Arabidopsis thaliana: one gene and its partners. The protein of the gene in region 1 interacts with the protein of each later gene in a pairwise test. Each region holds a gene or a part of one and is shown on either strand. Other genes may lie near its edges. The genes, in order: TPI, AT1G16000 and CRK2.

Evidence for each region.
Region 2: the proteins of TPI (region 1) and AT1G16000 interact in a protein complementation assay, tested with the Arabidopsis thaliana proteins (one large-scale study listed by BioGRID).
Region 3: the proteins of TPI (region 1) and CRK2 interact in a protein complementation assay, tested with the Arabidopsis thaliana proteins (one large-scale study listed by BioGRID).

The regions. Positions count from the first base shown.
Region 1 is NC_003074.8:20,548,767-20,559,465, reverse strand, and holds TPI (triosephosphate isomerase), read right to left. Parts: upstream 6,064-10,699; 5' UTR 5,673-6,063; coding exon 5,634-5,672; intron 5,307-5,633; coding exon 5,231-5,306; intron 4,941-5,230; coding exon 4,817-4,940; intron 4,473-4,816; coding exon 4,388-4,472; intron 4,294-4,387; coding exon 4,161-4,293; intron 3,983-4,160; coding exon 3,888-3,982; intron 3,778-3,887; coding exon 3,699-3,777; intron 3,613-3,698; coding exon 3,530-3,612; intron 3,439-3,529; coding exon 3,388-3,438; 3' UTR 2,906-3,387; downstream 1-2,905. Other genes in the region: PBL1 (PBS1-like 1), read right to left, coding at 115-238, 318-463, 542-677, 770-1,140, 1,259-1,337; AT3G55430 (O-Glycosyl hydrolases family 17 protein), read left to right, coding at 7,462-7,923, 8,773-9,660.
Region 2 is NC_003070.9:5,489,491-5,499,916, forward strand, and holds AT1G16000 (GAG1At protein), read left to right. Parts: upstream 1-5,042; 5' UTR 5,043-5,085; coding exon 5,086-5,254; intron 5,255-5,567; coding exon 5,568-5,659; 3' UTR 5,660-5,869; downstream 5,870-10,426. Other genes in the region: PnsB1 (NDH-dependent cyclic electron flow 1), read left to right, coding at 1-248, 347-497, 585-775, 848-1,105, 1,185-1,290, 1,377-1,462, 1,541-1,709; CNGC7 (cyclic nucleotide gated channel 7), read right to left, coding at 1,814-2,533, 2,603-2,951, 3,037-3,350, 3,449-3,661, 3,749-4,322, 4,400-4,446; MGT2 (magnesium transporter 2), read right to left, coding at 5,972-6,202, 6,295-6,342, 6,430-6,888, 7,002-7,592; AT1G16020 (vacuolar fusion protein (DUF1712)), read left to right, coding at 9,143-9,318, 9,496-9,589, 9,702-9,885, 9,985-10,023, 10,151-10,260, 10,338-10,426.
Region 3 is NC_003070.9:26,582,175-26,592,873, forward strand, and holds CRK2 (cysteine-rich RLK (RECEPTOR-like protein kinase) 2), read right to left. Parts: upstream 5,455-10,699; 5' UTR 5,161-5,454; coding exon 4,392-5,160; intron 4,318-4,391; coding exon 4,204-4,317; intron 4,123-4,203; coding exon 3,983-4,122; intron 3,896-3,982; coding exon 3,685-3,895; intron 3,591-3,684; coding exon 3,356-3,590; intron 3,274-3,355; coding exon 3,123-3,273; intron 3,044-3,122; coding exon 2,714-3,043; 3' UTR 2,555-2,713; downstream 1-2,554. Other genes in the region: CRK3 (cysteine-rich RLK (RECEPTOR-like protein kinase) 3), read right to left, coding at 6,576-6,908, 6,994-7,138, 7,228-7,462, 7,556-7,766, 7,861-8,000, 8,144-8,257, 8,338-8,726, 8,832-9,205.

The DNA of each region.
Region 1 (10,699 bases):
ATAGTTGCTATCTTCAAATTTACATTAAAAACCAGTGTTAGGCACCATGCAACAGTCTTACATTTTCTTATCCAACCATTATTACTTGCATCATATCTTAGTGACAGAATGTACCTGTTGAGACATACTCAGGAGCTGCGTACCCAAAAGTACCCATGACCCTTGTACTAACATAACTTTGTTCTCCCATTGGACCGTCTCTCGCTAAACCAAAGTCTGAAAGCTTTGCGTTGAAGTCCTGTTGTTTGAAAGACAAAACTCAGTATCTTTTAAGTCGTTGATAAAGACAACAAGTAGACATCGAAAGAGAAGAATACCGAGTCCAGTAAGATGTTTGACGCCTTGATGTCTCTGTAAATGACTTTGACGGGATCACTATGAAGAAATGCAAGACCTTTAGCTGCATCAAGTGCAACCTTAATCCGTAGAATCCAAGATAGCGGCTTAAAATCCTTATTTCCATCTTCAAAAAAATCATTCAAACATAAGAACAAACAACCTCTCAAAGTTTCACAAAACATGGACGAGATCAAAGACTCACTTGCAAACAGATGATTCTCAAGACTACCCTTGTGCATAAACTCATACACAAGAAGCCGTTGTTCATCTTCCAAGCAATAACCAATCAATTTAACCAAATTCGGGTGACTTAACTGCCCCAAATAGTTAATCTCTGTCTGAAACCACAAAAAAAAAGATCAATATCAGAACCTACACACACAAAAACAAAAGAGTGTTATAAATCAAAGATAAGAAACAAGTGTTGTACCAGCCATTCTCGGTGACCTTGAAAACCATCAGGGTTAAGTCGTTTAACAGCAATAACAAGACCAGAGCTAGATTTGGTAGGAGTAAGAGTAGTCTCATCAAGCCAACCTCTAAAGACACAACCAAAGCCACCTTCTCCAACAACAGAGTCCGATCTGAAGTTTCTAGTAGCGAGTTTAAGTTCATTAAAGCTAAAGCTTTTGACGGTCGTTGAGCTAAGGATTTCTCCTTCTGTCTTATGAGCTGTAGCTGATGATGAAGATTTACAGCTCGAGAGATGAAGATCATCGAGACCACTACTGCTCTTATCTGCACAACACACAAAAGCGTTGACCACAGTCAAAATTGAGAGAACGCCAAAAAAGGGGAAAACTTTATTCAGTTAGATCACAGGAAGAAGATTCTTGCAAATTTCATTCCTTTTCTTAAAAGCCATTATCGATTAACCAAAAAGATCACGGATTTGAAGAGATACACATGTGTGAATCACAAAAAAAAAAAAAAAAAAATGGGAGATGGAGAATTGTAGAGAACGTACTAAGGACACGAGAACTGAGACAAGAACCCATTTAGTAGAATGATGAAGAAGATCGTTTTTTTTTTTTGCACTTTTCTCTGACAATGAATTTCTTCTTATGCTGTTTTTGGGTGGAGCAGATTCTATCAGATAAAACTCATTAAAGCGAAATAATAAAGAGAAAAAAAAAAGAGAAAGAGAAAAAGTAAACACTGAAGAAGAGAGAGGATGAGAGAAGAGAAAGAGAAGATGTGTGTTGATGAGATGGTAGAGGCAACCGAAGGAAGAAGAAAGGTCTTTTTCTTGTCCAAACAAAAAAAAAACGAATTCAGACAAAAGTTATATTTTTGACCAAAAGATAATAAACGAGTTCTAAATAAAATTAGTAATAACAATTTAATGATCAGTGGGACTTTTCTATTGTATGATTTTTAAAACTTTTGAAATTCATAGATTGATTTTGATGATCTTAAGCATCTGAGTAAACGTGCAAAAAGATCACTAATGATATATGTTTAAGATTCAAAATAACGTTTTTAATAGATATGACATCTGAGTCAGATGGTCATGAGATTTTGGAATCTTTAATAGGCCTGAAATAAATTCGCCGTGGTGGGGTTGGATACAAAAAGAAAGAAAAAAAAGGACAAATTTTGTCGAAAATGATAGATATTCATGTGATCATAGATATTTTCGATTTATATGCTTTGGGTGTGGAATGATGAAACAGATTCGGGTTTAGTAATAGTGGTCTCAAAAATGTTTATAAAAGTAGGTAAGAAAATATAAGATTTGTAAGAACTAAGAAAAATATCTACTTAACCAGGAATTAAATTAAAGTTTACAAGTAGGTAAGAAAAATAAGATTTTTCAGGAAAAAATTATGCTTGACTACATACGTATAATGTAATTAAATTTAGTATCATGGGATGGGACATAAGTTTTATAAATACAAGTTTTTAAAACAGAGAAATTTTTTACCAAAACTTGTTTTGAGTCATACGGACCCAAAATTACTCTATTGCTGAAATGATCGATGACTTAGTCAAACCTCCATTTCTAAGGTCACAATTGTTTGCTCGTTACGCAAATAAGTCCAAGGTCAACTATATAATATAATACTCATAAAAATTCAATCCCTACTTTCTTAAATATTACTCAGAAATAAATAAAATATAAGTCACCAGAAATGTGGGTTGACTTGGGAGATAATACGTTATCACATTTGTAGCTGAGTCACATATTGTGGAGTTTTTATTGGCACTAGTTGGATTTTCGTGGTCGGATCAAAATCCATACACATTTTCATCATACTGAGTCCAATTTTTTAATAAATGGTTTGAACAATTCTGACATACGGGAGCTCTTATTTTGGACTTAACCGTCTCTTTTACATTATCACTTTAGTTCCACTGAGCCGTTTTACTCAAATTACATAAGCATTTTGTTTTCTACAAACATTGACATTCCTAATACAATGAGTTTCTCCATGAAATTTCTTTTCCTTTTTTACTCTCTACATAATAATTTCGTAATGTTGGACATTTTTCAAGATGATGACAATAAAGTTGAAAATAATAATGTTCTAAAAGCTAAAATGTCAAAAATGACAGACCAATAGGCAAAAAGCGATAAAAGGGAAAAAATAAAGTCATTTCCCACTTCTCCTGTATTCTCTCGTCATTTATTTAACAAGTAAAGCCATTTTCAAAGTGGTTGACAGCATGATTCAGAGATCAAGCATGACAAAATACCAAAGTCTAAAATGGAACAAACAACATATTATATAACACACAGGTTTATGATCGGACGACATTAGAAATAGGGGTTTGATCAAAAGGCCCGAGGGGTTATGAACTCCAAACACAGATTCTCTGAAGAGTTGAGAAGACTGTAAAAGGAAGGGATTTGCAAATTGCAAGTCCACAGCTAAATAAATGGCGAAGAAAATGATTGTTGCGTTCTCAAAACAATATAGTAAGAGAGAAACTTTTGCCAAATACAACTGAAGCAAAATGTATCATATCATAATACCAACTTATTCATTTTTTCAGAGTTGCGACTGGAAAAGCAAAGGACTTTTAAATTGCTTAATGAGCTCATTAGGCACTTTTCTTCACCTCTGCGGCCTTAATGATGTCGATAAACTCAGGCTGCAAAAAGACCAAGAATGAAAACATTAGTCATGGTTTTGAAAGAGACAAACGAAAGATATCATTACAAGAGAAACCATATTATATGTACCTTTAGAGAAGCACCACCGACCAAGAAACCATCAACATCGGCCTGTCCACCTAGCTCCTTGCAGTTACCACCATTGACGGATCCTGATAATAATTTGCATAATCAAGCTAAGTAACATAGAAAACTATATAGGGGTGTTTAATTAAAGATCGTGTTATCATCTATCTACCTCCATAAATGATGCGGGTTGTAGCAGCGACATCAGCACTCACGTTCTTGGCCAGCCATTTCCTCAGCTCATCGTGTACCTGTTCATAAACGAAACAAGCTCTCGTAAGGAAAACAGCATTGGTTTTCCTATTAAATCATGACCATATGCAACACGTTACAGTGCAACTGCGCATCGAGAACCACTTACTTCTTGAGCTTGGGCTGGGCTAGCGACCTTTCCGGTTCCAATGGCCCACACTGGTTCATAGGCTATGACAACATTTGACCAGTTTGTCACCCGATCTGCCATTACCAACAAAAAGAGTTTTTTAGCCAACAAATATTTCTGTGGGGTTTGAATCACACACTAAGGGAGTATAGTGCGTAGAAACGGGCATCACTATCATCAAAACAGGTCTCACTGTAAACGAGAACGAACTGAGATAGCAAAAAGAGATTAAATGTTTGACAATATACATACCGGCAATAGCCTTGGTCTGGGCAGCCACAACATCCATGGTCGATCCAGCTTCCCGCTCCTCAAGAGTCTCACCAACACAAGCAATCACTTTCAAACCTTGAGCAAGTGCATAGGCAACCTTGTCTCCGACGAACTACAAATGTAGGATAGAGGTCAAAAACCAAAATCATGAATTTAAAAGCTATTTGAGTCTCCAGAAAATTATTTTATCATGTAAAGTCACCAACCTCGCTTGATTCATTAAGGATTGCCCTCCTTTCAGAGTGACCAAGGATAACCCATGGAATATCCAAGTTCACAAGCATCTCCGCACTAAAACACACAAATTACACAATGCATAAGAGCAGGAAATACAGGCACCACAGAATATATCTTTTCTTCCTATGAAAGCATTCCATAGACAGGTAAATCATATTACACCTACTTGTCTAACCAGGCACGAATCCAATCATGGTCTTACTACCAACTACTAGTTGTTTTCTTAATCACTTAGGTTACACAATTCTTATAGGAAAGAAGATAAAGAAGAAGAACAGATGGAAAAATCGATTCGTTTATAAACACAATCATATTCATTTTCAAAACCATAAATATTTACTGCATGAAGCAATAATGGTAAAACAGCTTAAAGTATACACCAATGGTTAGAATCTCACCTCACTTCACCAGTGAAAGCACCTCCTTTCTTAACCCAACAGTTTTGTGCCGCAACAAAAAAGTCAGACCTCAATGTGCTCTTAACCAGGGGAAGAAAAACATATGGAGGGCTAACCACAACCTCTGCATTTAGTAAAATTTCATCAAATTATTAATACAAGAACAAACATACTTATAACTATCAACAAAGATAGAACCATAACAAGTATATGATAAAGAACATTTTAACTAACAACAAACACTAGATCTATCCATGGTTCCTAAGAAGCATAAACACTATAGAACATCGATGTACATTGAAACAGGTTTGTAATTGTATGCCCAAAATATTTGTCACTACTTAAGATTTCATAGACATGGAAATTAAAAAAAAAGCCATAATGTCGTCAAAGCAATTGAGATGCTACACATACCTACAACATCCTGTGAAGGAACCTGAGCTTCATTAAGAGTGTTCACAATCTTCTTCACCTCCTCAGCAGTTCCGTTCTATATAAGATTACAAATTCAAATATTAACATGTTAAAATAGTTTAACCAACAAAATTAACACACGGATCCACCAAAGCTAGAACACGAGATATCAATTGAAGAAAAATTCCTACTCAAAATTTTGACAAAAAAAAACAACTAAGATCCGGCATAGAATCGACAAATCTGAACCATATGCATTACAATTCAAATTCCACCGCTACAAATAATGAAAAAAACCTTAGATCTTAAGATCGGGATTTTCCGATCTCTTTGACTTGATCGGGGAAGGATCAAGTGACAAGACTAATAATAAGGTGCGCAATAGAAGGTAAAGATCACTTACACATTTCCAGTTGCCTCCGACGAAGAACTTTCTGGCCATTATCTCAAATTTTTTTCAGGCGATGATCACGAGAGTCACAGATACGACGACGATGGAGAGAGCTGAAAAGATTAGATCGATAGTGTTCAGTGGCCGTTGTCTCTCGCAGGGGTCACTCATATATATATAAATAAAAATATACTCTCAACATTTTAGATTGGAAAAGACGCATATGTCTAGGGTATATGAGAATATTCCCTGAACGATTAGGAAAGTTGAGGATATTAAAGTAAATTAGGAGGGAGGATGAAATATTATGGACGTGTTGGCCAAGGTTTGGTCGGTGTACCGGGTGGGGTGAATAATAAGAATAGACAACGGCGTGGATAGTGATGCTGTTGTATGGGCTTTAGGCCCATTAAAGCAAGCACATCAATAAAACCCAAGTTTGGTTAAAGGAAAGCCTATTGAGATGATTCTGAAACCAAATTATATTTGTATTCCCTTAAAGATAAATTCTGTATTACGCAATTCTTTCTTTTTTTTTCTTTTTTTTTTTTGGTAAAAGTTTAAATCGTATTATGCAATTCTATATTGTAATGCCCCTTCTTGGATACAAATAGTGTGGAGAAGGAGAAAACTGTTGTAAGTTCTCAAGTTAAACTACTAAACCACCATGAGAGCATTGAGCCGGCTCACTTCAAACATTGTGGCATACTTCAACAAACATATTGTTAGTCTAAAGGGCTATCGAGTGGCATCGATTATTTTATGTGATATCATTAAAAAGTAACAATGGTAATTTGTTATTGCAAAAAATAAGGATGGGATTTAATTAAAAAAATACAAAATTACGTGGTTTGTGTGTGTGTGCAATGAGTGTAACCATGTCATTGAAAATGACAATAAACTGTTAACAATGAGACATGGACGCGGATCTTCTTTTCCCAAAGAAAGCATAACAAATGGCTAAAGCGTGTCGGTAAAAGTTACTTCGAATCAGCTTCCTCAACAACATCTTCATACTTCGAATCTCTTTGACTTTGGTCCGTAGTGTTCAAACTCCAAACTATTCCTCCTACAAACACGTGTCCAATGGGCCAATGGCATTATCCCAAACCGCGTCGATCTCTCTTCTTTTTCTTTTCACTTAATATTTAACCATATACATTTCGTTGATACATCAATATTACTAATCGATTTTTTTTTTAGTTTTAAGTTTAGCAGTAAAAACTCAGATAGTCTCCTTTGACCTCATTAAGAACATCTTTTAATAAACGTATCCAAGAAAAAACAACACTCGATCTCTCTTTTGTTTTCTTAACTTCACTTTAGTTCCTTTTTTTCAAATATAGTTCATCCGTATCTGGATAAAATTAGGATTGTAAAATTACGATTAACAAGAAAGAGGTATATTTTTAGATTAAACTTGGATAGTATGAGTATTTACCAGCCAAAAACCATTAAAGAAAAAGATGACAAATTGATTATCCAAACAAAAGCAGACTCTATAATTAGCCAAATTAATTAACTAAAGTTTCCACGGTCACAACAAAATCCACTTTTTCAATAATTTACAACGGCCTAAATTTAAGCCGACGCACATGAAAAACAAAGACAACACAAACTTCTTCTTTTATTTTGCTTTCCACAAAATCCAGCTGTTCCTCACTAAAAATATACACACGTATACGCTATACAAAACGGTCATATCTATTAATTTTTATTATAAATACTTTCTCGATAAGAATAAAAAAATCTATTCGTCGTAATAATAAAAACACAACTCAAACGATTCACGGGTTTCACTTGGAATCGTTTGGTTTTCTCATTTCCGAAATATAAAAAGATGGCCAAAGCGCCACCGTCAATCTCTCTTCTCCTCCTCCTCTGCGCCGCCGTATTCCTCACCATCCCCGCCGTGATCTCCGCCATCGGTGTTAACTACGGAACTCTCGGAAACCTCCCACCACCGACTCAGGTGGCTAACTTTATCAAGACACAAACTTCGATTGATAGCGTCAAGATCTTCGATGTGAATCCCGATATCCTACGTGCCTTCGCTGGAACTGGTATCTCCGTCGTTGTCACCGTTCCTAACGGTGATATTCCGGCGTTGGCTAACGGAAGACAAGCTCGTCGGTGGGTTTCGGTTAACATTTTGCCGTTTCATCCTCAGACGAAGATTAAGTATATCTCAGTCGGAAATGAGATTCTGCTCACCGGAGATAATAACATGATCAATAATCTCTTACCGGCGATGAGGAATCTTAACAACGCTTTGGTTCGTGCTGGTGTCAGAGATGTTAAGGTCAGCTTTCTCTCTATTTTTCAGATTTTTCTATTTTAAGGAATAAGTAGAATATTTGTTTGGTTTTGGTAAATAAAATTAAAGTTAAGTTTGATGTTCATTATTGTATAAATTTCAGATAAAAAATTTTGAAATCTCAACTTTGAATTTGATATTTGCTAGTGGGAAAGTTTTTTTTTTTTTTGTTTACTTAACTTTTTTACCTAGTTTTAATTTTCTTTAACTAAAAGAAATTGTAATTATTAATAGTGAATTGATGATTGGCGTGAAAAATGCACTGTTTTTTTTTCTTTCCCTTTTTTATATCAGAGATAATGCATTGATTGCGCATATGTATAAAGTTGAAAAACAACGTTGAAAAAAATATGCAAAACAAAAATTGATTATTTTGAAAAATTAGATTCAATCTCTATTTTTTCGTCTGTTATCTAACTTGAAATCCAAAATTTCACGCAAACGTAGAATGTTGCGTTTGCTTCTTTCTTTTTTTCATCCAACTTGTATATTGTTAGTTTCTTAAAAAGAGGAAAAAAATAAATTCCCAAAGCAAAATTCAAAGATTTGAAACTTGAAAATGTTAGCGATTGGATTAAGATCTGACCATTTAGACTATCCCACGTGCTTATCTCATCACCGTCCAAGGTTATCCTATTGTCCTTAGATTCGTTCATCTGTCTGCCATGCCTTATGTTTCCTTTATTACATCATGATATATGTGATCCTAGGTAAATGAGATAATGTACCAATTTCATAGGAAATTTAGACCAACATGATTATCATATGAAAATTGTTGGAGATTGGTAGGTAACAATTGATTCTAATACTACTATTTGTTGCAATTGATCTCAGGTTACAACCGCACACTCACTTAACATCATAGCCTATGACCTGACCGGTGCACCAAGCAGCGGTAGATTCAGGCCGGGTTGGGACAAAGGCATATTGGCTCCAATCCTAGCTTACCATCGCCGAACCAAGTCACCTTTCATGGTTAACCCGTACCCTTACTTTGGTTTTGACCCCAAAAACGTCAACTTCGCAATTTTCCGAACACCGTACAAGGCAGTCCGTGACCCGTTCACCCGCCACGTCTACACCAACATGTTTGATGCACTCATGGACTCGACATACTCAGCCATGAAAGCTCTTGGATACGGTGATGTTAACATTGTCGTTGGCGAGACTGGCTGGCCATCTGCTTGTGACGCACCTTGGTGCTCGCCTGCGAATGCTGCTTGGTTCAACCTCAACATTATCAAACGTGCACAAGGCCAAGGGACACCTCTCATGCCTAACAGACGGTTCGAGACATACATTTTCGGTCTCTTCAACGAAGAAGGCAAACCCGGTCCGACCGCAGAGCGTAACTGGGGACTTTTCCGAGCAGATTTCTCCCCGGTTTACGATGTTGGTCTTCTCCGAAACGGACAAGGCGGTGGAGGCCGCCCAGCATTGCCCGCACCTAGTACTGCCGGCGGTAAATGGTGTGTAGCGAGGTCCGGGGCGACGAATACTCAGCTGCAAGACAGTATTAATTGGGTGTGTGGTCAGGGTGTTGACTGTAAACCGATCCAAGCTGGTGGTTCGTGCTTTAACCCGAGCAGTTTGAGGACGCACGCATCTTTTGTTATGAATGCTTATTTCCAGAGCCACGGCCGCACTGATGGTGCTTGTAACTTCAGTGGAACTGGTATGATCGTAGGGAACAACCCAAGCAATGGTGCATGTAAGTACTAAGGAGATTGTCTATGTAGTAGTATTTGTCTGGAAAATCCTAACATAATGGTTCTGAGGAACTTTGGATTTGAGAGATCATCAGCTTTGTGTTTAATTTCGGATTATCCTAATTTTAAGATTTTTTTGTTAATTATTTTTTCGCTGATTCCTTTTATTTAAATAAAGTGGAACTTCCATAAAATTTGCTTCAGCGTTACGCTTAAAAACATTGATTTGTGTGACTTGTGATCTTTATGTTGGATATAGATGGTCCATCAACCTATAAAGCAATATAAGCGTTTAGAAACATAACCTTATCTACAAGATAATTATGTCTTTCTAGGCCATGAGATTAGCATCAGTTGAAGATTTCTAAATGCCGATTCCTCGACCAATCATACTTTGACCCGACAAAGGTTTAAAAGACTAAGAAATATGACAATGTGTAGTAGTAGTATCATTGGACAACTATGACATGTTGTAAAACTATGACTTTACATTGTTAACATATCTTGACATGACAATGTTACAGAATTGTTAATATATGAAATACTGTAGTAAATTCTAGTCTCATTCAAATCATATTTGGGTGAGACCATGTAGAAGTAGACATGTAATGTAAGTGTGCGGTTGTGACCTGAGATCAATACACCAATACTAGATTGTAATGTGCAGAGACATCACAACTACATAGAAAATATAGGATAACATACTACCCTTAACACTCGCTTCTTCTAACTTTATTCGGTTGATGCGTCATATATGTATAATGACACTTAAAACTAAGCTCTGAAAATCATAACATATACTAAAATGATGATTTATAGGATCTGAAGAAAAATCTTATTGATAAAAAAAACATGTGAAATTAGAAAAAACAAGAAATTTAATTTATATGAAAAAATTGACTAACTAATGAAATGTAAATATTTTTCATACATATATTTCTCCAATCTTCCAATTCTTCCACATTTTTTAAGATTTACCTAAGAATTCTAAGTGAGATTCAGCTTCTGATCACTATGGATGAAATGCACGAACAAAACCAACCCAACTCAAC
Region 2 (10,426 bases), on another chromosome or scaffold:
AGCGGTGAAGACCCGGATAACGAATACGGGTCCTTGTTTGCCGACGGAAAACAAGACGAGGATCCAAGACCACCGGATAATCCTGATAACCCTTACGGCTTCTTGAAGTTTCCAAAGGGTTACACCGTCGAGCTTGCTTCTTTACCGTTGAAAATCAGAGGAGATGTTAGACGATGTTGCTGCGTTATCTCCGGTGGCGTTTACGAGAATCTACTCTTTTTCCCGACTATTCAGCTAATCAAAGACAGGTAATAAAAGTATAAGACTCTGTCTCCGATTCGACATTTTTTTAAAACCTTAAACTGAAATGCAGAACATTGTCCGTACGTTTCTGTTGTTTTGTAAGGTATCCTGGTGTTCAGGTAGATATATTAACGACTGAAAGAGGAAAACAAACATACGAGCTAAACAAAAACGTGAGATGGGCCAATGTGTATGATCCGGATGATCATTGGCCTGAACCAGCTGAATACACAGACATGATCGGACTCCTCAAAGTTTGTAACTTTCAAATATTTCAACGTTTTTTCTATCTTTCCTTTATCAGACTGCTTAGTTAACTTTTCTTTTAAGTCATGTTTCAGGGAAGGTACTATGACATGGTTCTGTCCACGAAGCTAGCAGGGTTAGGCCACGCAGCGTTCTTGTTCATGACAACGGCTCGAGACAGGGTTAGTTACATTTACCCGAATGTTAACTCTGCAGGAGCTGGTCTGATGCTGTCCGAGACCTTTACAGCAGAAAATACCAACCTTTCAGAATTAGGTTATAGCATGTGAGTTCCTTGAAACCGAAGAAACTGCAGGTTTTTTTATCGCCTGTCTAAATTGACTGTTGATGGTTTCAGGTATACTCAGATGGAAGATTGGTTAGGAAGACCGTTTAGGAGTGTTCCAAGGACTCCTCTGTTGCCACTTAGGGTATCGATTTCACGGAAAGTGAAAGAGGTTGTGGCTGCAAAGTATAGGAATGCTGGAGCAGTGACGGGGAAGTTTATAGTGATTCATGGTATTGAATCAGATTCTAAGGCATCAATGCAATCAAAAGGAGATGCTGATAGTTTACTTTCACTTGAAAAATGGGCTAAGATTATAAAGGGTGTAAGGTAATTATTACACACCTTCAAAATGTGAATTTTTTGCTTAGTTTGAAATTCTCTGAGATATGATTGTGAACAATGCCAGGGGATTCAAGCCGGTCTTTGTGATTCCACATGAGAAAGAAAGAGAAAACGTTGAAGATTTTGTGGGTGATGATACATCTATAGTGTTCATCACAACACCAGGACAGGTATGCATGCTTATCTGTCTGTATTTGTTATGAACAAAGTTGAATTCACTGATCTTACTTTGATTCCTTTTCTTGAGCTTACTTAGTTGGCTGCTCTGATAAACGATTCTGCTGGAGTCATCGCAACAAACACAGCTGCGATTCAACTAGCTAATGCGCGAGACAAACCATGGTGAATACCTGAGTAATATAAAGAGTACTGATTCAATGTTTTCAAGAACTAACATGTGTGTGCTTCTTTTTCTTCCAGTATTGGGTTGTTCTCTTCAGAAGAGAAAGGGAAGCTCTTTGTACCGTATGCAGAAGAGAAGAGTAACTGTGTAATTATTGCTTCGAAGACTGGAAAACTAGCAGATATCGACATTGGAACTGTTAAAAATGCAATGCAGGTCTTTGAAGGATCATTGGCTCTCGTGTAGATAACTTTACAGTTTCTGAAACAAGTTCTATATATAGAGCATTTATGTGTATAAATCAGTTATGTAGTCTCTGTTCTGATGTTGGCCTCTCATCAAGAATTGGATTATTCAGCATCAAAATCAGGTTCCGGAGGCTTTTGCAGATTTATCAAGGTCTTTGAACTCTCTGAGCTCCTAAGTCTGTGCCCTTTCAATGCATTAGCAGCAAATCTTGATGCAAATATCGTTGAACGCAGTCTAGAAGAAGACTCACTTCTTGTGATAACCATAGGCCTCTTGTCACTCTCATCATCATATTCATCTTCATAACCCAATTCTTCTTCTTTTTCTTCAATCCGTCTCAATTCAGCGTTTTTCCTTCTTGAATAGCGACGCCAAGCAGCTTGGATGAAGCAAGAAGCCCAAGTTCTCCATTGCTGAGAGTAAAACCTAAATGTTTGTTGAACCTGTCGACTATGAAGTCTCCTAAACTGACTTGCTACAAACTTCAGCTCTTCAGCTTCAAGAGCGAAAGCCTCTACTTCAGTCAGAGCCTTCACTGTTCTTGTGGAAGAAGGTAAGTTTGAGCCTGCTTTAGGGTCAAGAGCCCATGTCAGAAGCTCTTCACCACAAAAGTCTCCTTCTTTTAACAACCCTCTGTTGAAGAAACCGCTTCTTCCCCCATCTGTTGTTACACTTTCTAACCGGCCTCGGATTATGAACATCATTTCGTTAACGGGGTCTCCTTCACGCACAATGTAAGTGCTTTCCGTGAAAAGACTCGGCTTTAATCTCTCACAGATTGCGTCAAGTAATCTTTCATCCATATTAGCAAACAGAGGAACCTGTAGAAACAGAACACATAGTTAGTTAGTATCTCAAGCAATTTTAGCATTCTGATTGTGAAAACTTACCCTCCTAACTAAATTCAGACAGAGATGGCGTTTGATGTCTCTTCTGAGATCCTTAGGTAAACTCTGAACTATGTTTTCTTCGTCTACACCTCTTGTCTCTAACCATTTGTATTGATCATAGCGTCTGACTCTTTCCCTCAAATTTTGTGGAAGTGACCTGTGATGCATCCACTGTTCTGAGTCACGTCTTTTGATCCTCATTTCCTCGAGACGAACAGTAAGTGACTGAAGATAAGTCTGCATATTCCCGATGAGAAGCGCGAAAAGAAGAAGCCCAGCTATAGCAATCGCAATGGAAAACAAAACCTCTCCTGGAAATGTACTTGTCTGCAGCCCTTGACCTAACGTGCTGTTCATGAAAACACCAAAGATGTCAAGAGTACTCTGCACAAGCTATCGGTTGAACCAATGACAATGAGTTGCCCCCGCCTTACCTGAGATTTTGAAGACCCCACCATAGACAATAACAGAACTTGGAGAAAAATGTTGTTGATGATACAATGCCTGAAGATATAGCCTGACCGTATATCCCATAGTTAAACTTTGAATCATCTGCTTTAGCAGAACAATTGCTCTTAAGAAGCTCAGGGACTGTTTTGATCCATTCAGTTTCTCCACTGCTCACAAATTTAGTCCCACAATACAGAATCTGAACACAGAGTCGCGGATCTGGCTGAACTTTACACGCAAATCTCCAACAAGTATCGTTACGCTCCACTGACAACATGTACCAAAACGCTCCAGTTATCTGTCAAAATGTGTTTGTAAAGTCAGAAAGTGACCAATGATGAATAAATGTCTCAAAACACTAATTAAGAAGAGTCATATATACATAGAAACGCTTACGTGGCTTGCAAGCATATACCAGAGAAGATAATAAGCAGCACCAGCCCAAGCTCCTTCGGCAAAAGCTCCTGCAGTTTTCTTCAACTCTGATGTTAACGGAATAAACCTCACGAATCTCGGAATATACTGCACAATTACAATGTTCAACAATGCCGTTTTCGTTGGTAACACATCCGATCCTTTAGACCCGTGAAGAAACTTCCACACTGCAATCTGTAATATCCACACAAAACATCATAATCAATCCCAAAAGTCCAATATTTTTAGTAACCATCAAAGGATCTTTTCACTCTGTTTTACCTGCGGTAAAGGCAGCACTGCAAGAAAATCGACGACGAAATAACGGGTTAAATAGCGTTCAGCGATCTTTGCAGGATCAATCACAAGCTCACCACGACCAAACACACGAGAAGAAGGAGCTATATAAGCTGTACGAAACTGAAGAGCCATTCTAGTTAAGTAAAAAACGTCAACAATGGTTCTAAGAGTCGTCGTTGTAACAGCTAGTTTCGTATCAATCCCTATACAGCTGCTTCCGGAATTATCGACAATGGGAAGATAGAAGAACAAAGGATCAACAGAGACAGCTAAAATACACGAAATGACGAACAATCTGTTCCATACGAGAAGTGTTTTGTCTTGAGGATCAAAGATTTTCTTCTCTGTTATTCTTAAGTCTTCTGGAAAAACCGCTCTTGTAACGGATTTACCGATGGTTATTAGACCTTCTGATCTGATTTTTTTAACTCCTTCCCTGAAAGATTTGGATGCTTTCTTCTTTTCACCTCCTCGGTTCTTTAGGTTAAATCCGAAACAGTTTCTCTGCATCATCATTCCAGTCGCAGGAGAAGAACTTGAATCTATATCATCTAACCTGTAATTATAAGTTAAATGTCATTCATAGATCTGAAGAAAACAAAGAAAAATATTGCGATCTTTTGATTTTCTTACCTAACGAATTTTTCTCTTTGGCCGCTTATGTATTGGGATTTGTACATTATTCTGAGAAACAATCATAAGCTTCATGCAAAAATTAACCTAACAACATCACAACAGATCTCAATTATATGAAATAAAAACTGGAAAAGAGCTAATTAAGGATCGGCAACAAATACTTAAAGTGATTTGTAATAAATGTGGGAAAGTGTATGAATGATTAAGGAAAATCTAGGGCTTGAAGAAACTTGAGAATGAAGAAATTGAGGGTTCCTACTTAGTACCATAGATGACGGATGAATGATTGAATACTCCTTTAGATTGGACCGTTGTGAAAGTTGGTTACCATAATCATACACTAACTAACTTTTGATGCGGAGCGTATTTACCGCGTATTTTGACGAGGCGCGAAGAGTTATTATAGCTCTCTTCTCTTCTATCTAATTCACTCTCTTTATTGGCTTTCGATGAGTAGCGAATTTACCGCGTATTTTTTGGTGAAACTGTAATGTCAGAAAGTTATCACGCTTCTACACTAATATGTAACAAAATATGGGGTTTAAAATGTTATTCAATAAAAAGGAAATCTTATGTTGATGGGCCATAATAAGGCCCACTTATACATGGTACTAAAACCTCTGATGGATAAACCTTGTGTGCTGTTGATCGGAAAGGAAAAGTAAAAAAGAGAGATCTGAGAAATGGGAAATGAGACGAAGACCAACGGTGGTCCTGCAAGTATGGCCGGAGGCGGAGGATTCAGAGCTAAAATGGAACATTACGTTTACAGTGGTGAAAAGAAGCACGTCTTGGTCGGGATCGGAATCGTCACCATCATCTTCGGAGTTCCTTGGTATTTGATGACTCAAGGTCCGATCTCTCTCTCATCGTTTAATAATTGTATAACCAAATCCCTTCTTGGGGATTGAAAGGGTAATTGGTAGAAGATGAAATTGGAGGATTTTGATTGCAATTAGATTCTGATTTTGGTTTTCTTGCAAAATGAGAAACATGACATAGTGAGTAAATGGTTTCTCAGTATATATGGAAATGGATCACATTGTTTCATTCTAACATTCCCATAGGACCTGAATCTGTATATCTCTTACATCTGCTTTTGGTTACATCCTATAGTGTTGACTCTGTTTGGGCTAATTGGTTGAAGTTCTTTGGTTTCTTTTAGGGTCAAAGCATCAATCTCACCAAGATTACATGGACAAGGCCGATAAAGCTCGAAAAGCACGCCTCTCATCGTCTTCATCAGCTAACAAGTAGTCTGTCTGAAGGATTGAGTCATTTGCACACTGTTATCTCGTACTCATTTTCCCACACAAGTTAAAACTTAGTCAAAATCTGAGTCTTTTTTGTGATTTAGATTCAAAATCATTCTCATTTTCATGCACCATGTTTGGTTATCCGTTTTTTAATAAAAAGATCAAAGATTCTATCACATTTGGATTGACAATGCCTATGATAAAAATTCCCAAGATTCCATTGTGTAAAGGAAACAAATCATTAATATCTGTAAGCAACATAACAATATAAGTTGATGTCTACTTTCTGGGGAGCACATTCATGTCTCTCTTCTTATAGAGGCATGAGTCTTCTGTACTTGAAGAACCAGACGAATGCCGAAAATATCACAAAGCCACATACTCCAGTAATTATGAGTACCCATCTGAATGCACCTGGCTGATTGAAGAAGTCTATCTCAAAGTTCATCCCAAAGATCCCAGCAACGACCCCAAATATGGCTACAACAAACGTTGCAGTCGTCAGAAGCAACTCGAACTGGATCAGCTGATTCCGCACATTATCCTGCAGATATTGAAGAGGTTTTCAGCATGACTCTTGTGCATTCTCAATCTGGATTAATATCAGCTGTGGAAGATGGAATTTTGAGGTATTACCAGTTGAATGTTAATGAAATCTTCAGTGTCATCAATGTACTCCTTTAACTGTAAAGTAAAGAGAGGAACACAGATGATTAAAGCTGTCTAGCGAAGAAAGATCAAAAGTAAAAATGAGAGGAGCCATTAAAGTACCGATGTCAACTTGTTTAGAGTACTATCAATGACGACAAAGTAAGCTTCCAGCAACATCTCTAGCTCTTCTATATTCTCTGCACCTTCAGAACTCCTTGCACTGTCATGCCGACTCCTCGCAATGCTCAAGCTTTTATCAAGTCTTCGGGAATCAGGTGGAGAAGAAACAGGAGACACCGGTGCAGAAACAGATAGACCATCATTTGACCTGTAACCCAATAAGGACTGGTCACCGTACATAGATCCTTCCATTCTCCTCTTCTTCTCTGTTAGATACATTTCTGCCATATCTCCATCATCATCCATTAGCTGCTCGATCTCATCCCGAACCTTCTGAACTCTTCTTGTCAGTGCTACAAGCCTGCTCTTTAGTCTACGCACACGCTCCAAGTTTAGTGTACTGATCTTTGAGGTAAGCTCATCTAATAACGGGTATGCCTCAATCTCCAACTCTGAAGCCTATAGAGAAGGATAAAATTAAATCAACTTAGCGTGTAGTAGTCAAATCCAAGCCCAATATTAGTCTATATTTTCTGAGGGGGAAACAAAATCGAAGCTAAAGTGTTACTAACCTGGGAATCGAGAAACGTACAAGCAGCTTCAAGGGCTATTTCAAGAGCTCTAAACTCGAAAGGTAAATAATCAGGGGATGAATTCTCAAAAGCATTGTCAAAACTCCTGCTCCTCCTCCTACTCAACTGGGAATTTTCCTGCTGCCACATCTCACCTACACTACTAGTCTTTAGTCTCTGCTGCAACTCAACAACATAGCGCAGCACGTAGTTGTCAAGGGAATTCAGAAGCAGAACTTCGTCTGCAGTAATAATACAACGGATCTGCTCTAAGTTGACAACAATAGCCTTCTCTCGGCCTAGGATAGTAGAGGGATACACGAATAAGGGATCAAGCAGCCTTAAATCACGGGCGGGTAAGTCACACCTACGCATCATAGTGAACTTGTCAACCTCCATGACCTGAGTATTACCAGAAGTATCAACACGAATCCAAGAGCGTAGGCCTTGTCCACGCTTCTTCAGACCCAAGACATCAACTCCAAGAAGGGGTGGTCTTCCAGAAGCAGAAGGCCGAGTCACAGAAGCATCTCTGAGGTTCATAGCTGAAGCAGGTCTTGGAGGAAGCAGGCGCTCTTTTAGCTCAGACATTGTTGCAAAAATTCAGATACTGAAATGCCAAATAACTACAAATATCAAAATAAATGATGTAAACAATGATATGATTAATTAGGTAATCAAGAAGATTAAGTAGTTTCACAAACCACCAAAAAACCGGAAGAGAAAAATTGAAAACATAGGCTAAAGAACAAATACCAGTTAGGAAACCAAGGCTGATTTCGTCGTTCTAACTCTATCCACGACGACTGTAACAATAAAACGATGAACTAGAATCAGATTCCGATTAAAAATTCGAAAATTTTCGAAAATCAGAACCAAACGAACAACAAAAGCCATACCAGAGCTACAAACGCCGTAATATCCTACCAGCCACGGGATCAAAGAGCTGCAGATTTGGAAACAAAACGAACCAGGAATCATATCGATCGGTACGAAGCATAAAAACAAAAAAGAGAAAACCTAACAGAATTTTACCTCTAGCACGGAGATTGGTTTCATCACTCGAGTTAAACTGAATCTAATGAAACCGCGATAGAGAGATTCATAAGGCGGAAAAAGAAAAACCCTAACACAGATCGATCGGAGCTTCTCGGAACAAACACCGAATGGCTCGTCGGATATCGTTTTTTCCGATATGGCTGAAGAAGAAACAAACGAGCGATGGAGACAACAACAAACACGCAAAAGCTTTTTCTCTATTAGTTAGTCGCGCGACTAGTGTGAATACGAGCCATTGATGGGTTAACCGGAATGCTAACCGACCGACTATAGCTAATTTACCGGTTATCTCTAACTTCCCATTATATTATCAAATCTAAACTACTTAACTACTTAGATCTTTTAACGTTGTGTCATTATCACTATCTCCCATTATTTTTATTTATGGTTAATAATTAACCGAGTAATAAAGTAAGATACTAACTGAATGATTGAACAAATTATTTGAGATTCGCATTCACACAACGTATAATTCAGACGGATATGTCTGACTTAACCGGTGGAGCATCTAGAAATATTCGGTTTACCCGTTTCAGATATTGACCCGATTATTTGATAACCCGACCCGGTTTATTTCGTGGCGGTTAGCAGCTGTCCACCTGCTCCTCTTCCTTGATCCTTGTCACAAAATGTCGCGTAATTCTTCTACTGATTTCAGCTCAATCGCTCAAATTCGAGTTTGCGTTTAGAAATTGAAGTTGACTCTTCTGTTCTTGAATCTATCTCCGATCGGTGAACTATCTCGCAGTACCAGGAGATTGATCACTCCTTCGACATTGCTCTTTGAATTCGTCCTCAAGGTAGTCAATTTTCACTTAATTTTTTTTCCGTTTCCTAGCCTTCTACAGTAATTTTCTCTTCTCGATGTATGGGTTCTTCGGTCTTCTTATTAGGAACCTTACTTGGTATTTGTGTGCCGTGGTTGAATCACCAATGTGCTCTTGAAACCCTGAAATTACTTTGGATTTTGAAGTAGAGTACATCCACATTGGAAACAACAACCAATTGTAACATGCTTGATTCTGACGCGGTTCTTGCATTGTATTGTTAGGGTATTAATGAGCTCGTAGAAGCTACCAGAAATGGCGTCCATGAGCTCTGGTGATGAAAGCCTTCGACTTTGCATGTTTGATTTGAGGAGAGGTCAAACTGAAGGACAAGAGTTAGAGAAAATTTTGTTCTTTTATCCTGCCGATTTAGACTTCTCGACGCAGTTATCAGTGATCGGGCTCAGTGAAGGGCTTATTACTTTTACTAGGTCAGCTGCTATAGATTCTTCTTCTTTTTGAACACTGTGAGATGTGTTTTTACAATTGCTGGTGATCTAGATTTGGTTGCATTTGTGACTTGTTCGATAAATTAAGTCAGGGTCGTTAATCGATAGTCTGTGTAGATCTTCTTCATGTTTTGAGGCTTGGTGTGACTATTAATGCAGACTTTTCTCTCCGGAGGCGGCTTGTGAAGTGATCGAAGCAGAAAGACATTCCCATGTTTTCTATGAGGCTGAACCTGATATCTGGATGGTTATGGTAAGGCATTGTCTTACTTTTCTTTTGTTATAGCACAATGTTTTCTATGAATGATGCATCCTATGGTGTCTTAGCAATGTAAATAAACAAGATCTGATCTATACATTGGCAGGTTGTGGAGAAAAATAAGGAGACAGGAGCGATATGGAGGATCGATGCATTAAGGAGGGTGCTTAAAGAAGTGCACTCACTCTTTGTGATGTTTCACGGGTCAATTAGGGCATTAATCGAAAAAGAACCAACAGGAGGGCTTACCCGATCACTATTGTACCCGTTCATCACAGATTATTTAAGCAGTAAGTGACTATCACAAAATCTAGCATATATAACTTTCCACTGTTTTCCCTTTTTATTCTGTTTCCCGCTTCAATACATTTTATGTCAATAATTGTCAGCATTTCAAATATGGTCTCTCTCGGAAGACTGCTGCTGTGGTAAAATCCTGAAGTTGCTGTGTCGAATGCCTTCCTTTGGATTTGTGCAAAACCACCGCATATTTTGTTATCTTCATGGTAAAATACTCAAGTTCGTTCTTATGCAAAGGTTTTCTGTTCCTGGCAGAATTTTTTGTTGGGAAGAAACTTCAGCTACCAACTTTCCGTGAAACTTTGAGAGAGCGTGGAACTGTTCAAATGCTTACTTTAGCAAGGGATACTGCAGTTGAAGTTCAGGTTTGTGTCTCCAAACCTGTTGGATTATTATTACACATACTAATTTGGTATTTGACGAACAGTTTTTGGATGTACAGTCTCTTGTTCAAGTACTAGATTCATGTGCTGGGAGCTTACGATGTCACTCTATGATCTTATTTCAAGATCTTTTGGTTTCAACAACCCT
Region 3 (10,699 bases), on another chromosome or scaffold:
TATAATTTTTACACTGTTTTTCCAAGAAAAGAAAACAGTAAAAAGCTTTTGGTAAATGGGGCATCATCGCGAATGAATGGAACCCGTTAGCCAAAACGGTCAAGGGCGTAACGAGACATTGTATTGGAAATAGTGGCAATATTATGTCACTAATCTTCCAATCATCCAAATTGATAGATTTCTTATTTGTATTGAACCTTACTTAGATAGCTGATGTGTCAACTAAATAATTTATTTTCATTATCCATTCGGGTAGAAGAATTCATTATCCATTCGAATTTTGTGACTATTTGGCTCGGTTTCGGAGCCGGATTTTTCGGATCGGTTTTTGGATTTCGGATTTTATGCCCAGCCCTACTTATACTACTTGTATCAATGTCTCTAATTGATCAATTGTTGCTTGCTATTCAAATATCTGTCTTGGCAGTTCTCAAGATCGTACAGTAAGGATGTGGGAAGTTACTGGGGGTGGTAAAGATAAATGTTTGAAGCTTGGGTGGGTTGAAGAAATTGCACCTAGGGCTGGAATTATTGAGTACTTCTTTTTTGTTACCAAGTATGATACATAAGATAACTTACCTATACTATCTAGCTTCTCTCAGTGGTTTATAACAAGATTTTAGTTTGTGCTCAACGATTTGTATTTTGTTTTTCTTATACACTTATTCAAGCCTCATCTACCACTTAAACTAATTTTTAAAAAGTATTAGTAAAATTAACATGGTTTTAACTAAAAATTATTAATTATTTATCTTAAGGTTTAAGTTTTGAATTGGTTTTAAATTTTTAGTGAAAATCATTATTATTTTTTAAAAATGAGTTGAAGTGTCAAATCTATATTACGTGAAAACATTACCGAACTTCGAACACTTCAAGACTTACAGACCAATTAAGGACGGGATGCCTAGGCGCGGTTAGTTCCCGACGTTTTTAAAATTTAACACTTAAACTAATTTTAAAAAAATAATAGTGAAATACATGGTTTTAGTTAAAAGTTAAGAATTATTTATCTTAAAGTTTAAGTTTTAAATTGTTTCTAAATTTTTAGTGAAAACTATTATTATTTAATTATAATTTTACTAAAAAATATTTTTTAGAGAAAAGAAAAAAAAATAATAATTGAAGAAAAATAATACCTTGTTGGATTTTGTAGCAAAGAAAGCCCAATGAAAAAAGCCCATTCGAAGACCACCGTGAACTCGTCTGAAAAGCCCTTAGTTGCTGCTGCGTCTTTGTTGCAACTCCTCCGAAATTCTCCGTCTTCTTCATTCGTTTTTGACTCTTCTCTATACTTGTCGTCTCCTATCATCGCAATTCATCTTCCCCCGTTTGGTGTGTTAAACCGGAGAAATTTGGAGTTTCGCCGGAATCTTCCTCTGTCTATTGTATAATTTCCTCTGTCTTTGATCAAAAGTTGATCGTACTTGGATTCCCGATCTCTTCCTTCTAGATTAGGTCCTGGAATCGTCTTCTTAGGTGCTCCTCGCTTTCACTGCCCCCGATCTCTTCCTTCTCAATTAGGTCAAGAAAGAGAGGACGTGAGAGAATCAATTACGATTCTGAGATGATGAACTCGAGGATTACATGGATCATCATCAAGCGAACAGGTATGAAAAGATGGGAACGATGAATGATTTTGGTTTCTCGAAGAAGAAGGACGTGAGAATAGAGCGTATTTTGATTTCTCATGAATGAAGAAGAAGAGAATGCGTGATCTAAGTGTGTGTATTTATAAGGATGGTTTTTTTTTGGTTTATTGTTAATCTAACCGTTGGGGATTTGATATTGTAGAGGAAATCTAAATTAGATTCGATTTCCAGTTACGAATAATTATATCAATCTAACCAAAAAGGAAGTTACGTTTTGGTTGAAACTTTTTTTCGATATAACGTTTACAAAGAATCATCTTTTTCGCTCACAAAATATTATATATCAAAAGGTAAGAGAGAACATGAATGATGATCAATTTAAGAAGTTGAATAATTTCAACTCCATTGCTACTTTTATTCTAAATGGTTTCTTTGTATACAAAAATTTGTCTGTTCCTAACATATGTTGTGGTGGTTGCTACAGGTAGTCTTGGTTTGTGGAGCAGAAGCCAGTTTCTGAGGACTTGACAAATACAACACACGTTGACATCAACCTACCAATGCTGCTCTATTTGTCCAGAGAGAAGCCCGCCTGGTTCTGAGATCCCGTACAAGAAAGCAGGAGCACATAGTTTCTAAGTTCTGATCTATGTGTCCAGATAGAAGCAGCCTGGTTCTGAGATCACAACAAGAAAGCAGGAGCACAAACAACAACAAAGCTTGAGCTCGAGTACCTACCTTAAACTGCTGCATTGAACCACCAATCTTATATGTTTGCAAGTCTGGTGTGGATGAGGATAACATTTTTTTGAAGATGGCATATGTTGGGAAATTCTCAGACATTTCATTCTTTGTTTCTGTTGTCTTCTCTCTTGCAAACTCGCAAGTCCGTTTATAAGCTTGCAAACTATTAAAGATAAATGTTTGAAGCTATGGGTTGGTTGAAGAAATCGCACCTAGAGCTTGAATTATTGAGTACTTTTTTTTTGTTATCAAGTATGATACATAAGATATAACTTACCTATACTATCTAGCTTCTCTCACTGGTTTATACACAAAATTTTAGTTTCTGCTCAAAGATCAAAGATTTTGTATTCTCTTCTTCTTATACACTTCTTCAAAGCTCATCTACCATAAAAGGAACTTTGTGAGACAGTGGCAAGAGATGCACAACCAGCTGAATCACCATCAGAACCATCTCGAAGTTCCATGACTCTTTCATCCATAAACGGAGGATTACTCGGCAATGGCAAGACCTCCTCTTTGTTCTTTAGCATATGTAATAACTTAGACATCGGTGGTCTTAGCGAAGGGATCTCTTGAGTGCACAATAGCCCTATTTGAACAACTCTTGCTATCTCTTTCTTGATGATGTGACTGTCATACTGACTCTTCCAATCGAGGTTTGGATCATATATTTTCTCCAACTCTCCTGACTGAAAATGCTTCCATGCCTTCAATAAAAAACATAACACCACAATTAGTTTGAGAAGTGAAACCTGCAGACCCATAGACAAAATATGTCTAACTTACCTCTGTGATCAAACTGTCTGAGTAATCTGACATTTTGCTTTTGGTGTTCTGTTTTCCAGTTACAATCTCTAGTACAAGAACTCCAAAGCTGTAAACGTCTACCATCTCTGTTAGCTGACCATGTGCTAAGTACTCCGGAGCCATATAACCTCTGCAGTTTCACAAGTATTGGATCAGCTCAAACATTCATATCTTTTTGAAGAAATGGTACATTTTTCTGAATATATACTTACAAGGTCCCTGCAATGGCAGTGCTAATATGGCTCTTATCGTCCTGGAATGATCTCGCCAGACCAAAATCGGCGATTTTAGCTTGAAGCTTTGAATCTAGCAGAATATTACTTGCTTTTATGTCTCTGTGAATAATTTTCACAGACGACTGCTCATGCAGATACACCAATCCTTCAGCGGTTCCAACGATGATCGTGTATCTTCTCTGCCAGTCTAATGTTTTCCCTCTGTTCACGTCTGCAAAAGTAATAATGAAGACAGGTTTAGTGTGCTGCTGCATTCAAGATTCAACAATAAAAACTCATCATATAGTATTATTAGTAGTAGTTACCAAAGATGAATCGATCAAGGCTCTTGTTCTGAAGGTATTCATAGACAAGGAGACTCTCTGGTCCTGAGCAGCTGCAACCAAGCAGCCTAACAAGGTTCTTATGTTCAACAGTGCTGATCATGTTGACTTCATTGTAGAAATCGGTTGCTCTATGTCTGTTGTTAAAGAATAACCGCTTCACAGCGATATCTCTTCCGTCTGGAAGAACCCCCTAAACAAGCCAGAGAGATACCACTATATCACTCATTTGCTTTACAGGAAGGTATAGAAAGAGAGACATGATCATACACACACATACCTTATAGACAGTTCCAAATCCGCCTTGTCCAAGCTTGTTCGCGTTGTCAAAAGAACCTGTGGCTTTCTCTAGTGTTGAGTATTTGAAATTCAAGCTACTGTCTTTTAGTGTTTTCGCCATTTTCTCAACATCTTTTGATCCTGTTAAGCACCAAAGATCTCGGTTAAAAACACTCAATCCTTCTTAAACCAATTCATCACAAATCAAGAAACTAATCTTACCTCTTCTCTTCCTCTTTATGGTCCGACGTTTGCAGATATAAACACTTACTGCTACTCCAATCATGAAGACAACCACAGAGCTAAGTACTGACACCACAATCACTACCACAGAGCCTGCAAAAACAATTACTTATGACCATCAAGCGAATGAGATTCTATAGAAAGCATGAATCTTTTTATTGTGTTACCTCTTGATCTTCCGTTTCTTGGTATCTTATTCAAGAAATCTTGATCAGAGTACCGAAGGAAACATCCAGTGTGAAGCGCACGTCCTTCTGACCATGGCAAACATCCTTTAACCACAGAAGCAGAGGCATTCTCCAAACACTGTTTACAAGAATCAGGACTCAAAGTTCTCCAACAATTCGCCAACACAAACGCTGATTCAGATTCAGATTCACCCGCCTTTGCAGACGCACGAGCGTACCCTCCAGTCCCAGAAGCCTCAGTAACAGCATTTCTCAGCCCTTGTCTCACCGCATCACCAAAAGTCTTATTCTTTCTCGTCGTGTTTCCACATACGATGCTATCTTCAGGTCCTTTGTATTCATTATAGAAACTATAATTCTCAGCTCTCATAAAACATCCATCAAGAAAGATTCTACCTCCGTTCTGAGGATAACACTGCGGAAGCATCGTCCTTGCTTCCGCGTAACAGAGTACACAATCGTTTAAAGGAAGATCACCATAGCACTGCGCAAGACCATAGTTAGCGTCTGGTCCTGTACCGGTGAGAGCAACTCCAAAACCGGAAGTTTGTACTTGTGTGCTGATTTTCTCCATTGTGGCTACGAAATTTGGGACATAAGCGGTTTCGTTGTGCTCAAGCAAAGGTGAGCAAGTGACTTTAACGGCTCTAGCCCTTGCGTCTCCGGTGATTTGACGGAGTGATGAAAGAAGAAACATCAAGAGACATGGAAGGTACAGAGGAAGGATATGGACAGGTTCTTTCTTCATTTTGTTTTGTTTGATTGAGAAAGAGATCTCCTTTTTTTATTCCCTCATCAAGGGTTTTGTGTTCTGTTTCAAGTTGTGAAGAAAGAAGAAGCAGAGAGATTAAGAATTGGAGATGATGAAATTGAAGAATTTTCAACTGCTTGACTTTGATGATATTGGTTTGTTAGAGTCAACCAAATTTGCTGTCTTTCTCTCTCTCTCTCTACTGGTTTAGTCAAAAAGTTAATAAAAAAAATTGATAATGGAGATTGTTGGATTTCTTCTTAGTCTTGAATTCACACTTGGAAACCAAACCAGCTCGATCATGTTGTTGAAGTCGTTGTCTTCATTCAAATATTTGTCGTTTTCATAAACCTAAAAACCAGTGGACTAATAATTAATAGAGCTTATCTTATGTGGAGCCGGTTCGGTTTAATTGGATAAATCTCTTTACCGGTATCATGAAAAATTCAATTTTCTGATTAGTTAAAGAAAAAAGAAAACGTCACATATGCGTAGTGTTTAGTAAGATGACATTCAAGAAAATGGATAAAGTGACGTTAGACTACTTTAAATAAAGAAATAGGTTTGTTGGGTTGATTTTTTTTTTGTCAATTTGTTGGGTTGATTTAGTAGGCCTAGTTGGTATAGTACAATAAAAGTTGTACAAATAATAAAAATATATATAACAAAATACCATTTACATGTTGCCATGGTCAAAGTTTTATTCAAGATCAATTGCAAAGAAAAATGAGAAGTAGTTGGACATTCAATTCTAAAAATGTTAAATCTAGTTGGCTATAATAAAGACATATGTAGTATATGTGTTTCTATCTAGTAGTCTCCTATGGCTTCCTTGAAAGAAAACAAAAACACTGATAAAAAGTCCTTGATTCGAATCCACTTGTGCAAAAATTAGGAGATCATGATCCAAACTTTGCGGTAATAAATTTAGTGAATTTTTAGTGATTTGATTTTTTTCTTGTGTACATTTAATATGTTTCATATTTTGATTCTTAGGTAAATATCCTTATGGCATTATTTGGTTTTACTCGAATTTCTTTGCATTTGTGGTTGCATTTTTCTATTTAAATATGACATTTACTCTTTCTCTTTTTGTAAAGTTAAAACGAGAACAAACACAAAAACCGCTTACTAATATACAAAGCTACTCAAAATTAACACACAAAATAAAACTACTGAACCGTAAACCGAATCACTACAATCAAAACCGAGGCTAAACCGGAATCTGTCCCCGTCATGTAAGCTCTACATTGTTCACTTCCTAGCTTCTATGACATTGTCGTGGCACATAAGTAACCCTCAGTTCCTAGCTAACACACGATTAATTGGCATCTCAATTTTTGTACATATGACACAAGATGATTCAGAATCCACACGAAAGGATACTGATATATCTAACACGATCTAAAACCTCATCTAGGTTCAAAGAAACTCGAACCCTCGGTTATGTAGTCACTCCTTGATCCTGAAGAATTAGACTGATTCGTCGTGGGAGTCATCATCATCTTTCTCATCTCTACTACACTTCCTGGATTCAGAAACGGTGGTTGCGTCGGCGTATGAATCTCCAAACTCCCTTTCATCATTTTCACAACCACAGACATCGCAGGCCGCTGATCAAACGCTGCTTGAACACAGAGAAGCCCAATTTGAAGTAGCCGTGACGCTTCTATCTTGTTGAAGTTATCACCTAAGATTGGATCCACTGCCTCTTCCACATTGCTTGTTCTGTACAGACTCCATACCTAAAATATGTTTTCAAGATTCAAGAAAAAGGATTTGATCTAAAATCAAGAAAATGTTTGAACTACTTGTAGAGAGTTAGTTTACCGATTGTAGGATCGAACCAGCGTCTTGTACGAAGGCATTGTTACGTTTTCCGGTTATAACTTCAATCATAAGAACTCCAAAACTATAAACGTCTGCTTTCTCAGTTAGTTTTCCTCGTACTACATATTCTGGTGCCATGTAGCCTCTGTTTCCACAAGTAAGAATCTTCAGAAACAACACAAGAAACGGTAGAGAGAGATATTAAAGTTACAAAGATAAGTTTTGAGACTTTACAGTGTACCGGCGATGGCAGTGCTGATATGAGTCTTGTCCTCTGGGAACAATCTAGCCAATCCAAAATCAGCAATTCTTGGAGTAAAATCATCTTCCAAAAGGATATTACTCAGCTTAATATCTCTATGTATGATTCTAAGATTTGACTCCTCGTGAAGATACGCCATTCCTTCTGCTGTACCAAGTATAATCTTGAATCTCTTTGCCCAATTCAACGGTTGAACATCTTTTCTTACTGAACCAAAACAAAGCAACAAGAACAAGTCAATAAAAGATCCATCAAGACATGGTAACTGTAGTAAAAGGTTTAGGATTGACAAAAACAAACCGAAAAGATAGTCGTGGAGGCTTTGATTTGCAATGTATTCATAGACCAGAAGGCTCTCTGGTCCAGTTATGCTGCATCCCAAGAGCTTAACAAGGTTCTTGTGGTCTACTTGGCTTATTAGATTAACTTCGTTGAAGAAATGATCCACCCATTGCTTTGTGTTGAAGAACAGTCTCTTTACTGCAACAGTCTTACCATTAGTAAGAACTCCCTACTCCACAAAAAGGGCAAAGAGTTAACCAATTGAGAAGTAGGAACATTCCAACATGAAACTCTAGAAAATGTATAATAAGAACAGAACTTACCTTATAGACAGAGCCAGATCCTCCTTGTCCTAACTTATTTTTGTCGCTGAAGTAATCGGTAGCCCTCTCGAGATTCTCATAGGAGAAACAGAGATTAGATTTGTTCGCAAGCATGAATAATGACCCTAGTTGCTTCTTCTCTACATTACATTACACACACACACACACAAATATCTGTTAAGATCAAGACTTCACTATTATAACCACTCAAACTCTATGACTAATCTTGAAAACTAAGCTATTTCTGGAACATAAATCTTAACTAATTCTTTATGGAACAAACCTCTTTGCTTCTTGGCGTGTCTCTTTTTAAGCAAGAAACCAGCGGCAGAGACCAACAGAACAAAAGCCACAACCGAAGATGTCACCGCCAAAATCACACCCAAATGGTTATGACCTGATCAACAAGAATGTTGCTAAATAAATGTTACAAACATATACTAAATTTAAATCATATTTCAAGCTTATTCTACTTACCACCATTACCATCTGATGTAGAATTTCCAGAATTGTTATAAAACTTTTGAGTAGAAAACCTCATATAGCAACCAGCACTAAGAACTCGACCTTCTTCATTAACCAAACAAGAACCAATCCTCACTGAAGCTTTACTCAAACACTCAACACAACCACTTCTATTAAGAGTCTCCCAACACTGAGCCAGACCATGAACCGTCACGTTATGTCTATCCACAAAACCAGCATAGAATCCACCATTTCTCACCGCCTCCACACTCATGTTCTTAACCAACTCTGCAGCGTTATCCCGAAATACCGTCCGGTTTACTCCGGTAATCTCCTTTGGAGCACAAACTGTCCGGTCTTGCAAGCTTAACGTCTCGTTATAGAAATTGTAGTCATCGTACCTAAAACAAAGATACAACAATCGATTATAACCAAATGCAAGAATCAATCAAACCATAAAGTTAAGATTTTTATCGGATTGAAATGAGTGTGAGAGAGAAACAAACCTGATGTAGCAACCATCTGAGAAGACTTGACCACCACGAGTACCTTTTTGGAAAGGTAAGCAACGAGGAACTTTAGCTTTGATCTGAGCGAAACACAAGTCGCAATCTTTCTTATCAAGATCTTTTATACACTCTCCGTAAGCGTAGACGGTTAAGTTTCCGGTACCGTTGACCACTTGTCCGTAACCTTTAGCTTCCACTAGTGGAGAGACCGCGTCCATGGCGGCGAGGAAATTGGTGACGAAGAGACTTCTCTGTTGCGGCGTCGTTGTTCTGTTGTTGCATATCTGAGCCACTGTGTCTCCTCTCGAGTCTGAAACAGAAGGGCTTATAAACAAACCCAGAATAAGAAGAAGAAGAGTCAGAATCGGCATCTGGGTTTAGTGGTTAAGCTTTTGAAATTGAACAAGAAAGCATTTGTGTAAGGTTTTTGATCTTTGCTCTGTTTTCTTTTTCTTCTCTCTTGAAATGGATTGGGTGATTGAGAATCAAGAAGGAGACACGATCGGGAAGTTGAAATTGAAATTCTTAGATTTTGGTTGTTGGGTCAACAAAAGAAGAAAACTTGGAAAATTTTCCAGTTTGAGAGTTTTTCCAATTGTAAGAGAAGTCAAAGAGTGGACTTTTGTCTTCTTACGATTCAACGAAAGATACCGATCGCATTGGGGTATTGAAAGCAGAAAACGACGCCGTGTGGGAGTTATGTTCTGTTTTAATGCACGGGGCATCATGACGTCATTGCTTTTGTCACTTTTTTGTATGTTCTGTTTTGTCACCCACAATGCGGAACATAGAAAAAACAAGGATTTCTGTTACGGTTATATAAGTTATACAATCGTTGGGTAGTTGCCAATTTGCAATTCGTATTTACTAGGCATGGAACTTTAAACAGAATAGAGAATGTCGAACCAGACCGAGATTTTCCGAATTTCGATTTAGGGAATTGAGCTAAGTCACTAACGGTAAAGTCTATTTTAGTAACCGTTAACCGTTCAGTTCATAATAAACTTGTATATTTATCGATTAACCATTCGGTTCGAGTGTTTGAACTGATCAAAACCAGTAAACGATAAACATATAACCTCTAAAGTTCATTATATCTAGCCATCGTCGGCCAGCCTCTTTGTCTTTTTCTTCTTACGTCGTAATAGTAAGAATATTTTACTAATTTGCACTGTCTGAAACTCTGAATAGTCCAACACAAACAAATTCATGAGTGATATGAAATTAAAAACAGATTTTGATCAATGCAAGAATCTTCTAAAGTTCGGAGTAATTTTCCGGATATTTCCTCTTTTACGTTTTTTTGTAGGAATAGTTTGAGAAAACAAGGCAACGTAATGGATAATGGCGTAAGTTCTCGTCTGCCGTATTGTGAAGGTCGTCTCTAAATCAAAGCAACTTCAAAGTCTTCAATTATTCTTTTTATTCTTTCTCCACCACAATTATCCATCGACAATCTTACTTTTATCAGCCATTTTATCTGAATTTGCCGCATATTTTGACTTACTTGTACATTCTGAAAATGACAGTTTTATTCCTGTCAAACTAATCAACCATCACTTTTTGAAAATTACGTTTTTGTGAACTAATGAAACAGTGTTTTGTTTCGTTATTTTTCAATCAGGCAGATAGATCTTAGAAAATAATTGTCTTAAAAATTTACATAAATTTGTGAAATTATTGGTACCAGATAATTTTCGGCGAATTTTATTTAGAAAAACGAAAATAATAGAAACCGATGGGTCCTCGACGTCTAGAAGCAAAGCGACCAACCCGTGACTATCAAAGTCAGCGTCAACTCCAAATATGAAATATCCAACCCATGCTTATTGTATTACTATATCATTGCATTAATATCTTATCGC